Diceros bicornis minor: one gene and its partner. The protein of the gene in region 2 purifies or fractionates together with the protein of the main gene of each other region. This does not show direct contact. Links are inferred from orthologs where the notes say so. Each region holds a gene or a part of one and is shown on either strand. Other genes may lie near its edges.

What was found. Proteins that work in one complex are often made in the same cells at the same time.
Region 1: the proteins of cytochrome c oxidase assembly factor 3 homolog, mitochondrial (region 2) and COX1 purify together in Homo sapiens (affinity purification with western blotting; 3 studies listed by BioGRID and IntAct, with this or other methods). This does not show direct contact. The link is inferred for Diceros bicornis minor from reciprocal best matches to the Homo sapiens genes COA3 and COX1.

The regions. Positions count from the first base shown.
Region 1 is NC_012682.1:999-7,420, reverse strand, and holds COX1 (cytochrome c oxidase subunit I), read right to left. Parts: upstream 2,071-6,422; coding exon 526-2,070; downstream 1-525. Other genes in the region: COX2 (cytochrome c oxidase subunit II), read right to left, coding at 1-379. UniProt on the Homo sapiens protein: Component of the cytochrome c oxidase, the last enzyme in the mitochondrial electron transport chain which drives oxidative phosphorylation.
Region 2 is NC_080757.1:41,815,069-41,821,007, reverse strand, and holds cytochrome c oxidase assembly factor 3 homolog, mitochondrial, read left to right. Parts: upstream 1-4,291; 5' UTR 4,292-4,315; coding exon 4,316-4,529; intron 4,530-4,883; coding exon 4,884-4,990; 3' UTR 4,991-5,428; downstream 5,429-5,939. Other genes in the region: CNTD1 (cyclin N-terminal domain-containing protein 1), read right to left, coding at 210-285, 3,774-3,933. UniProt on the Homo sapiens protein: Core component of the MITRAC (mitochondrial translation regulation assembly intermediate of cytochrome c oxidase complex) complex, that regulates cytochrome c oxidase assembly.

The sequences.
Region 1 (6,422 bases), on a different chromosome or scaffold from region 2:
CTGATGTAGGGATTATGTAGGAGTCAAAGGTTAGGTCTTCGTAGTCTGTGTATTCATAACTTCAGTATCATTGATGCCCTATAGTTTTAACGGTTAGGGAGGGGTTATTGATCTCATCTATTATATAGAGGATTCGTAGCGATGGGAGGGCAATTAGGATTAGGATAATAGCCGGTAGGATGGTTCAAATAGTCTCTACTTCTTGTGCGTCTATAGTGCTTGTGTGTGTTAGTTTAGTTGTTAGCATGAGTGAAATAATGTATAATACTAAAGAACTAATTAGGAATACAATCATTAATGTGTGGTCGTGAAAGTGAAGTAGTTCTTCTATGATAGGGGATGTTGCGTCTTGAAATCCTAGTTGGAGCGGGTAGGCCATAGAGATATATAGAGGCTTAATCTATAACTTAACTTTGACAAAGTTATGTAATTTTTACTAATATCTCATTTATTGGGAGAGAGAAAGACATAGAGGTTATGATATTGGCTTGAAACCAGTTAGAGGGGGTTCAATTCCTTCCTTTCTTATTTTAGGTTTACGTAGACAGGCTCTTCGAATGTATGATATGGGGGAGGGCATCCGTGTAGCCATTCAAGGTTAGAGGTGGTTAGTTCTACTGTTGATACCTCTCGTTTAGATGCGAATGCTTCTCAAATTATAAAGACTATAAGTATTACTGCTGTAAGCGAGATGAAGGACCCTATAGAGGAGATAGTGTTTCATGTTGTGTATGCATCTGGGTAGTCTGAGTAGCGACGTGGCATCCCTGAGAGACCAAGGAAGTGCTGTGGAAAGAAGGTTATATTCACTCCTACGAATATAATTATGAAGTGGATTTTTGCTCAGGTTTGGTTGAGTGTGTATCCTGAGAATAGGGGGAATCAGTGGACGAACCCTCCTATGATAGCAAAAACTGCTCCTATAGATAAAACATAGTGGAAATGTGCTACTACGTAGTATGTGTCGTGAAGTACGATATCTAATGATGAGTTGGCTAAAACAATCCCTGTTAAGCCTCCCACTGTGAATAAGAAAATAAAGCCTAGGGCCCATAGTATAGCTGGTGATCATTTGATGTTTCCTCCATGAAGGGTAGCTAATCAGCTGAATACTTTTACGCCAGTGGGAATAGCGATGATTATAGTGGCGGATGTGAAGTATGCTCGTGTGTCAACGTCCATGCCAACAGTAAATATGTGGTGGGCTCATACAATGAATCCTAGGAATCCGATAGATATTATAGCTCAGACTATTCCTATATAGCCGAAAGGTTCTTTTTTTCCTGAGTAATATGTAACAATATGTGAGATTATTCCAAAGCCTGGTAGGATTAGAATATAGACTTCAGGGTGGCCGAAAAATCAAAAGAGGTGTTGGTATAAGATTGGGTCGCCTCCCCCTGCTGGGTCGAAGAAAGTAGTGTTCAGGTTACGGTCTGTTAGTAGCATGGTAATTCCTGCTGCTAAGACTGGAAGTGCTAGTAATAGGAGTACAGCTGTAATTAAAACGGATCACACGAATAGGGGCGTTTGATATTGGGATATGGCTGGTGGTTTTATATTAATAATTGTGGTAATAAAATTAATGGCACCTAGAATTGAGGATACTCCGGCTAGGTGTAGGGAGAAGATGGTTAGGTCAACAGAGGCTCCTGCGTGGGCTAGATTTCCAGCTAAGGGCGGATAAACAGTTCAGCCTGTCCCGGCACCGGCTTCGACTATCGAGGATGCGAGTAGAAGAAGAAATGATGGTGGGAGAAGTCAGAAACTTATATTGTTTATTCGCGGGAATGCTATGTCGGGTGCCCCAATTATTAAGGGGACTAGCCAGTTTCCGAATCCTCCGATTATGATGGGCATAACTATAAAGAAAATTATTACGAACGCATGAGCGGTTACAATTACGTTATAGATTTGGTCGTCTCCTAGTAAGGTTCCAGGTTGACCCAGTTCAGCGCGAATTAGAAGGCTTAGGGCGGTTCCCACTATTCCAGCTCAAGCGCCAAATAATAGGTAAAGAGTGCCAATGTCTTTGTGGTTGGTTGAAAATAGTCAGCGGTTGATGAACATAGGTAAAATGGCTGAGATAGCATTAGACTGTAAATCTAAAGACAGAGGTTGTAGCCCTCTTTTTGCCAGGCCCTGTGGTGAATTTCATGTTGAATTGCAAATTCAGAGAAGCAGCTTCAATTCTGCCGGGGCTTCTCCCGCCTTTTTCCTGAGCGGCGGGAGAAGTAGATTGAAGCCAGTTGATTAGGGTATTTAGCTGTTAACTAAAATTTCGTGGGATAGTGGCCCACCAATCTAGGGAGGGTTTAGCTTAATTAAAGTGTTTGATTTGCATTCAGTTGATGTAAGATAGAGTCTTGCAGCCCTTAGTTGGCAGGAATTAAGTGATTTATACTTGCTTAGGGCTTTGAAGGCTCTTGGTCTGGTGTAACCTAAATTCCTAGTTCAGAATGGATATGATTGGTGTTAGTGGGAGGAGCAAGGTTGATATGATGATTAGTGTAGGTAGGAAATTTATTCGTTTTGAGTTTTCAAATTGTCATTTTATTTTTATGTTGTTTATTGATGGGAATATTGTTAGTGAGGTGGAGTAGGTTAGGCGTATATAGAAGTATAGGTTGAGTAGGGCTATAATGGCTATGGATGTTGGTAGGATGATGCTGTCATTTTTTGTTAGTTCTTGAATGATTATTCATTTGGGGATGAACCCGGATAGTGGTGGTAGACCTCCTAGTGATAGTATGGTGATTAGGATGAGCGAGGTAATTAGGGGTGTTTTGTTTCATGTGAGGGAGAGTGATAGTATTGTGGTTGAGGAGTTGAGTATAAATAATATGAATGTAGTGAGTGTTATTATGATGTAGATTAGCATGTTGAGTATTGTTATTGTTGGGTTATATATTAGAATAGCTGTTATTCATCCTATATGGGCAATTGATGAGTATGCTATGATTTTTCGTAGTTGAGTTTGGTTGAGGCCTCCTCACCCTCCTACTAGGATAGAAAGGAGGGCCGTAGCCATTAGTATATTTGGGTTAATGGAAGGTGCAATTTGGTATAGGACTGATATTGGTGCTAGTTTTTGTCATGTGAGCAGGATTAGGCCAGATATTAGTGAAATGCCTTGGGTAACTTCGGGTACTCAGAAGTGGAATGGGGAAAGTCCGAGTTTTATGACGAGAGCTGATGTTATAATGATAGATGCTGTTGGATTGAAGATTTTTGTGATTGTCCATTGGCCTGAGAATATAAGGTTGATGATGATTGCTATTATGAGGAGTATTGATGCGGTGGTTTGTGTTAGGAAGTATTTGGTTGCTGCTTCTATGGCTCGTGGGTTAAAATTTTTTATTAGGATGGGGATGATGGCTAATAGGTTTATTTCGAAGCCGATTCAGATTATTAATCAGTGTGAGCTTGTTATTACAATTATAGTCCCTAGGATGGCGGTTGTCAAGATGGTTGAGAAAACAATTGGGTTTATTAGTACGGGAAGGGTATAATCCAACATTTTCGGGGTATGGGCCCGATAGCTTGTTTAGCTGACCTTACTTGTAGAATGTGGTGTATTTTGGTAGCACGGAGATTTTTGAGTTCTTAAGAGTAGGTTCAATTCCTATCGTTTTAGAAATAAGAGGACTTGAACCTCTATTGTTTACTCTATCAAAGTAATTCTTTTGTCAGACATATTTCTTATGTTTGTGGGGGGATGCTTGATGTTGTGATTGGTAGTGATACATGTCATATGCATAGTGCTAGAGTGAGGGGTAGGAAATTTTTTCACAGAAGGTGTATGAGTTGATCGTATCGGAATCGTGGATAGGATGCTCGGATTCATAGAAAGGATGTGGTTAGTAGTAGGGTTTTAGTAGTGAAGTTGATTGTGTATAGTTCTGATATGTAGGGGTTGTGGAATGCTCCTAGAAATAGGATGGTAGTGAAAGCGTTTATTATAATAATGTTTGCGTACTCTGCTATGAAAAATAGGGCGAATGGGCCGGCTGCGTATTCGACATTGAAGCCAGATACTAATTCTGATTCTCCTTCTGTTAGGTCGAAGGGAGCTCGGTTGGTTTCTGCTAGTGTTGAGATAAATCATATTATGGTTAGTGGTCATGATGGGAAGATTAGTCATAGGTGTTCTTGGGTGGTGATTAGTGTGGATAGTGTAAATGACCCATTTATTAGTAGTACGGAGAGAAGGATAATTGCTAGAGTTACTTCGTATGAGATTGTTTGGGCTACTGCTCGTAGGGCTCCAATTAGTGCATATTTTGAGTTTGAAGCCCATCCTGATCATAGGATGGAGTAGACGGCTAGGCTTGATATGGCAAGTATGAACAGGATTCCTAGGTTTATGTTGATTAGGGGATATGGTATTGGTAATGGAATTCATATTGTTAGGGCTAGGGTTAGAGCTAAGATTGGGGCAATGATAAATATGGTTGTTGATGATGTTGATGGTTGTAGTGGTTCTTTAGTGAATAGTTTGATTGCGTCGGCAATTGGTTGGAGTAGGCCATAGGGGCCTACAATGTTTGGTCCTTTTCGAAGTTGTATGTAGCCTAGTACTTTCCGTTCAACTAGTGTAAGGAATGCTACGGCGAGTAGGATTGGGATGACTAGGAGGAGAATGTTAATTGTGAACATGTTGTTAGGAAGAGGAGTTGAACCTCTGGTTATAAAGGTTTAAGTTTTATGCAATTGCCGGGCTCTGCCATCCTAACGTGGCCCTGGTCTAGGGCAATGTTATGTATAAATTAATTAGATTGAGATTATATCATCTATTGGTTTGAAGGCGCTTTTGTGAAGTGGGCCTTATTTCTCTTTTCCTTTCGTACTGGGAGAAGTATTGAATAGATAGAAACCGACCTGGATTACTCCGGTCTGAACTCAGATCACGTAGGACTTTAATCGTTGAACAAACGAACCATTAATAGCGGTTGCACCATTGGGGTGTCCTGATCCAACATCGAGGTCGTAAACCCTATTGTCGATATGGACTCTAGAATAGGATTGCGCTGTTATCCCTAGGGTAACTTGTTCCGTTGATCAATAGTTTGGATCAATAAGTGATGTGATATTTTTGACTGGTAAGTCTGGAATTTAATCACTCGGAGGTTGATTTGTTCTCCGAGGTCACCCCAACCGAAATTGCTGATTCAGTCAAAGTTTTGTTATCCCTTGGATGTAGGTTAGAGATTTTATTTTTGTGAATTAGCTAATTAAAGCTCCATAGGGTCTTCTCGTCTTATTGTGTCATTCCCGCCTCTTCACGGGAAGGTCAATTTCACTGATTGAAAGTAAGAGACAGTAAAACCCTCGTGTGGCCATTCATACAGGTCCCTATTTAGGGAACAAGTGATTACGCTACCTTTGCACGGTTAGGATACCGCGGCCGTTGAAACAGATGTCACTGGGCAGGCAGTGCCTCTAATACTAGATATGCTGGAGGTGATGTTTTTGGTAAACAGGCGGGGTTTGTGTTTGCCGAGTTCCTTTTACTTTTTTTAATCTTTCCTTTAAAGTGCATGCCTGTGTTGGGTTAACAGTTAGTTTAATAGATGATTTATTGTTAGATTATATCTATTTTGTTGTTAACTATCAGTGATTATTCGTTCTGATATAGGCTTATGCGAGGAGAAATAATTCTTGTTACTCATATTAACATTATTGCTTCTATTTGTTGATAGATTAGTCCAATATTAAATTAGGAGTTAGTTAGTTGTTGTTGAGATTAAGGTAGCTGTGCTGTTGAGCTTGGACGCTTTCTTAATTGGTGGCTGCTTTTAGGCCAACTATGTGTGATCTAGATCTTACTCTCTAATGAAGGTTGTAGCCTGTGTCTAAAGAGCTGTACCCCTTTAGAGTATAATTTAAATTTACATTGGAGTTGTGGGGCTTTTAGGTAAATTTAGATTTGAACTTACATTCTGTTTTGGACAACCAGCTATCACCAGGCTCGATAGGCTTTTCACCTCTACCTATAAATCTTCTCACTATTTTGCGACATAGATGAGTTCGTTCGTTTTGGGGCTGTTCGTAGGTAGCTCGTCTGGTTTCGGGAAGTTTAACTTAAGTTCTCTTTGCTAAAACTGTTCTAGTTAAATCATTATGCAAAAGGTAAAAGGGGTAAGCTTTGCTGTTTAGTACTTTTAAGACTTCTTTCATCGTTCCCTTGCGGTACTTTCTCTATAGCGCCAGTTAAAAATTTCTATCTCCTATACTTTAATAGGTTTGGGTAAATGTTTTGTTTAGGTAGGTTTGTAATAGTTGGATTGGGGTCTGTTTGGGCTAGCTTTGGTTCAAAGTGGTCATTTTGTGTGAAATCTCCTGGGTGTAAGCTAGGTGCTTTGTTTAAGCTACACTTTGATTGTCCAAGCGCACTTTCCAGTACGCTTACCTTGTTACGA
Region 2 (5,939 bases):
TCAAACTAAAGGGAGTTAGTGCTTCAAACTATGCTGTGTCTTATCCTCTCCAATATCAATTGCTGGCTAAGAAATTTACATTTGCAGGTAATAGAAGGTGTAAAACCAGGCCTCGTGGGAAGGGGCGACTAGTACTTTTTTTAAAGGTTTGGGTACATTAGCCATTCTGAGAGTTACCACCCACAAAGGCTGTGTGCTCAGGGCTTTACCTTTCTAGGATTTCTACAGCCTGGTAGCTCACAGATTTCTCCAGACACCATTGTTCAGACAGGAGAAAAACAAACTCTGCCAAAACAGGAAAGAATAGCCTAATTCACAAGGTGCAACCAAAACCACTCTGTGAACTCTTGGCATTGTGTAAAAGCCATGGTGGGGCCAAGGGAAGAGGGTCAGGAGGTGAGAAAGATGAGACTGAAACAACTCAAGCTGAGCTTAGTTCCCTATGCTGCCAATAGGCAGATCAGAGGTATGAAAAGGAGGCTGACAGAGTGCCAAAGACAAGGGCTTACCAAGGCCCCTCAGTGATCCTTGAGCCTTCCTGTGGGTCTCAGCTGATAAAAGGTTTGGCCAGCTACACACAAACATACCAGCTGGTCTAGTTGGCCTCTACACCATGCTGGGAACCCCCAGCTTCAAGGGAGATTCTTGGATGGATAAAAACCCTAACCCCTATATTCTGTTTTCAGTGGAATGTTGACAGGAACAGAAAGGTCCCTCCTGGAGCTTCAATATTCTTTATAACACTGTTTGTTTAGTAACCACCCTCTGGAGAACTCCCATTGCTTTACAAACACCATTCGCCTTACAGCTGGACACCATCTCTCCAACCCCCGTTTGTTGGGTAAATCTTTGGCGGCTGAGCCTCTCCCCAGGAGCAAGTTTGGTACTGTGGAGTGGCTTGTTTTGAAGAAGCATCCGCTAAATCAGGGAACATAGCCCACTTTGGGGAGGGGAGGGTCATTGGGAAGATACCTTGGCAAGATTTGGGCTGCCTGTTTCTCTTTGAAAGAACAGCCCCAGATAGTATTCTATTTAGTTTGCAATATCATTAGAGGGTGGAAACAAGAGTAAATGTTAGTTCTTAACAAAGAAAGCTCCTACAGAACTAGGAACTTTTAGCTCTGATAAGCAAAGAATTACACAGTCAGATTACCATATGTCTTCAGAGAAAATTTGACTTACGAAAAAAGAAAATTATAAAAGTCAAGTTAGCACAAGACACTTTAACAATCTACTCGACACGTTACACATGGATAAATGTACAAAACCTTATCATTACAGACATTAAAGCTCTGCTAGCAGTGTCCAGTGCAGAAGAGAATTAGTTAAGCAATTAAGCAAAATACCCTAGAACACATAATTGTGTGTTATCAGCCAGTCCTTTTATTTGCTGGAGTTTAGCCCTTATTTCTTTGTCTTGTTTTTTTATGTGCATGTAGTTGTTTGGTTTTGTTTTGGTTTTTGTCTGAATTATCCGGGCAGTTGTTTCTATTTTCCATTTTAATTTGCCAAGAAAACTGAGCTTGAATTAGGGGGAATGGATGAGGGTTACACGTCTCCCTCAGTGCTGGCTCCACCTCCTGCACTTATAAACATACTCAGATCTGCTATTAACTGAAAGGCCCCCCTTCTATCGTCTTAAGCTAGGGCTCTATCTCACTAGTTTCCATCACTGTTAAATTTCTTGAAAGCCTTGCTTACACCTGCTGCTTATACTTCATCATTCACCCCCTAATGTTCTGCAATTTGACTTCTAGTTTTCCCAACTTGCTGAAATGATTATCTCAAAGGTCAGCAAATATATCCAAATTGTTCAATTTCATGGCCCTTTTGCAATCCTCATTCCCGTTGTTCATATCGCCGAAGCGTCTGAAACTGCTGACCATCATCCTTCTTGAAACTCTCCTCTTGGCTTCCAAAGGTCCCTTGATTCTGTTCCTATCTCCCCAACCACTCCTTTTATTTCCTTCATGGCTCTTCTTCCTAATCCAATTCCCTGAACACAAAATGTTTCCCAAGGAACTGTCCTTGACCTGCTTCTCTCTTCTCTCTCTAGGAGCTCATCCTCTGCCACAGTTTCAACAGTATCCTTATGGAGATAACTCCCAAACCTTTATCTCTAGTTCTGACCTCTCTTCTGACAGTTGTTAAACAGCCCAAAGAAACCTTCCTTTAGGGCCGGCCCCGTGGCTTAGTGGTTAAGTGCGCGCGCTCCGCTACTGGTGGCCCAGGTTCGGATCCCGGGCACGCACCGACGCACCGCTTCTCTGGCCATGCTGAGGCCGCGTCCCACATACGGCAACTAGAAGGATGTGCAACTGTGACATACAGCTATCTACTGGGGCTTTGGGGAAAAAAACGAGGAGGATTGGGAATAGATGTTAGCTCAAGGGGTGATCTTCCTCACAAAAAAAAAAAAAAGCGGCGGGGGGGGGGGTTAATGAAGCCTTCCTCTAGATGTTCTACAAGCACCTGAAACTGAGTTGATCCAAAACCAAAGCTATGGTCTTTCTCAAACAAAAGTCACATTTCCTCCTGTTTTATTTTTTTAATGTACATGTAGGGGCCGCCCGGTGGCGTAGCGGTAAAGTTCACGCACTCAGCTTCTGCGGCCCAGGGTTTGCCGGTTTGGAGCCTGGGCACGGACCTACTTGCCGCTCATCAAGCCATGCTCTGGCGGTATCCCATATACAAAATGGAGGAAGATTGGCACAGATGTTAGCTCAGGGACACTCTCCCTCACCAAAAAAAAAAAAAAAAAGAATGTGTATGTTTCTCTTAATGGCACCACTATACTCCCAGTCTCCTAGGATCGACCCTTTGGCATAGTAATCTTTGCCTTCTTCACTTCTTAAATTCATCCATTGCAGAACCCTAGACTTCACCTCTGAAATGTTTCTAATCCATCCTCCCTTGTCATTCTCTCTGCCCTATCACCTAAACTACTAATACTGACTCCACTGGTCTACCTACCTCCCCTCTCTCTCTACTCCAATCCATCCTTTACCTCACAGCCAAAATAATTTTTTCTAAGGAAAAGGTTATAGTCATATCACTCCCATATTTAAAAACCTTCAATGCCTTCTTGTTTTCCTACTAAGCCAAGTATAGCATTCAGAGTTCCACATGGAGTGTCTCCAAACTACCTCTCTAGTCTTAATTTCCACTATTCCACATGCTCTGGCCAACCTGCGGCATTGTACTCACCGTATTGGACTTCCTATCGTACTTCCCTATTTCCATGGCTTTACTCATGCTATCCCCTTCTGGTAGAAACGCTATCCCCCTTCTGCACCTTCTCCAACCAAAATGTCATCCTTCCTTCAAAGCCTACCTCAAAAGCCATGAGGCCTGGAGGACTCCTTTAATTCTTCTTGCCCCCACCTCACTCCATCACTCCTCTCAATCCAGATAAAAGCTTTTTCAGGTAAAAGCTTGTTTTATCTGGTATGTCAGGTATCTAACCATACTTGTACCTATTCACTTGCAGATTTGTCCTAATATCCTCCAAAGATCATACATGGTTTGAGAGCAGGGACTAGATCTCTATTTCATCTTTCTATCTCAGGCAGTGTGGATAACAGGTATGCATGCTGAAATCAAGGGCAGGGTGCTGGGGTGTCTTGTTCATCACTATATCCCCAGCACCTGGAACAGAGTAGGGACTAACAAGACTTATTTGAATGAATAAAGTAAACTGAATGTCAAGGCCGGCGCCTCAAAGACAGATGCCCAGACTCCCATAACCCCGGCTCCCTGCCCTGCATCCACACCCACGATCCGGGTCTCCCTGAAGCTGCCCGTCCAGCCGGCAGCCTCCCGCACCGCTTGCTCATTCTGCTGGGCCAAGTGGAGCAGAGCGTCTTCGATCGTCTCGGTGGTCACGGCTCCAAACTGAAAGTCACCGAGGGAGGCCAATCTTGGTCCGTCCATTTTCAGAAGCCTTTTCGGGCACCCGGATAGCTCACTGGATCTTAAACTGACCCCCTTAGTTTCTCTCTAGAGTCTTCTGCCACACGCTGGATTCCTCGTCCCCGTCTGTGTGCTTGTCCTCGCCTCAAGTCTGAGGAAAACCCAATTCCCACCACAGCCTCGAGCCCTCAACAGCCTTTTCCCGCCCCAACGGCCGCGGACCCCTCAGCCAATCAGAAAGCACGGCCTCTACCCGTCTCCCCCGCCCTTTCCCTAAGCGCGGAGAGCCGCACTCTGTCGGTAAAAGAAAGGCGAACTACAACTCCCAGCTTTCCCTGCGGCAGCCAAGGACTGCTTCCCAGCAGTCCTCGCGTCCTGGGACTGGGAAGGGTGGAGCGGCAACATGGCGGCGTCGGGACCTGGTGGCCCTCTCGATGCTAAGAGTGGAGAGGCCCCTCCGGCTCGGCGCATCGACCCGACTCGGGAGAAGCTGACTCCCGCGCAACTGCAATTCATGCGGCAGGTGCAGCTCGCCCAGTGGCAGAAGACGCTGCCACAGCGGCGGACCCGGAACATCATCACCGGCTTGGGCATCGGGGCCCTGGTGTTAGCTATTTGTATCCGTCCGCACTGTAGACTCAGGGAGACCGCAAATGGGGGCAGGGGAAGGGGAGCTGAAGCATGGAGGAGGGCGGTGTGGGGGTGGCAGAGAGAACCTGAGCTGTGAAAGTCTTGGCTACTTCTAACGTAGAGCCAAGCGTTTAATGTGCCTTACTTTGTCATTTTAAGGTGCTCTTTTAGTATAATTTGTTAATAATAACAGAGTCGGGGTCAGGGCTCAGAAGAGCAGAGGGCAGGAGGTCGAATCACTCATTTGGGAGGATGAGAGATTAACAAGGGCGGTGGAGCAAATCTAGGAAAAGGGAATGTGCATACATATTTTAAGTGGCTTCCTGAACCCACCTCCCCAGATGGTTACACCTTCTACTCGGTGTCCCAGGAGCGTTTTCTAGATGAGCTGGAGGATGAGGTCAAAGCTGCTCGAGCCCGGGCTCTGGAAAGGACATCAGGACCCTAATCCAGATGGACATCGCACATCTCCAACCTGCTGGAGCCCCTTCATGTGATGGATGTTGCTCCTTGACCCTGTAGAAATGGAAGCCTTCTGATAGCATCGCTGCCCTAACTAACGTTGGATGATGACTGAGCCCAAGAAGCCAGGGATTTATGCATTTGGCCATCGTCAAGAGAACATTGCCCACCTCACACTCACTGTGTGTGGCGACTGAGCCCTTCTTGTAGTTCCTTTCCTTGTTTGAGAGGTATCTGACCTTAGCTTTTCCCAGGTTTTCTGACTTTGTGGTTTATCCCTTTCACCTACCAGGGACTGGGAGGATGGAGGATCAGAGGTGGGCTGTTAATGGGGGATAGGTGTGGCAGCTCTGTGCAGTGTTGGAGCCTAAAGTGGGAAGAATGGGGTCAGGTTGAGAATAAAAACTGAGTCATCTCTCTTGGAGTCAAATGAGTGTGTTGGGGCTGACACTTCATACTGGAAAGCTCCGTAAGCAGTAGCTGCAGCAGTGGTATTGCCCCAGGTAGCCGTAAATGTTTAACCAGAATTACTTTTTCCATGAGATCTTTCCACCTGATTTAAGGGCAACATCATGGTGGGTCACTGGACTGTTTGCAACTGAACCATGTTTTGGGGGAAGGAAGGTCACTCTTCTGTCCTCTACCCTCAAGAGCAACACACTACTCCAACTTTACTGCCTTTTCCCATCCCGAGACAGAGAGAGAGAGGCAGATGAAGGGTGATGGACAAGCAGCTTTTTTTAACTTCCACAGAGGCCTGTTTGTGTAGGCCAAAGGTGGGGTCTGGATGGGATCTTAGCTTGGTCAAGTGGATCATTAACCTTGCAGTTTCCTCATGAACTGCTGGCAGGACGCCAGAAGTCTGGGCAGCTTCTACCCGTGCCTGCCATTGTGAGGGGAGAGTCCCTTCTAAATCCTCCCGCCTTACCCCACAA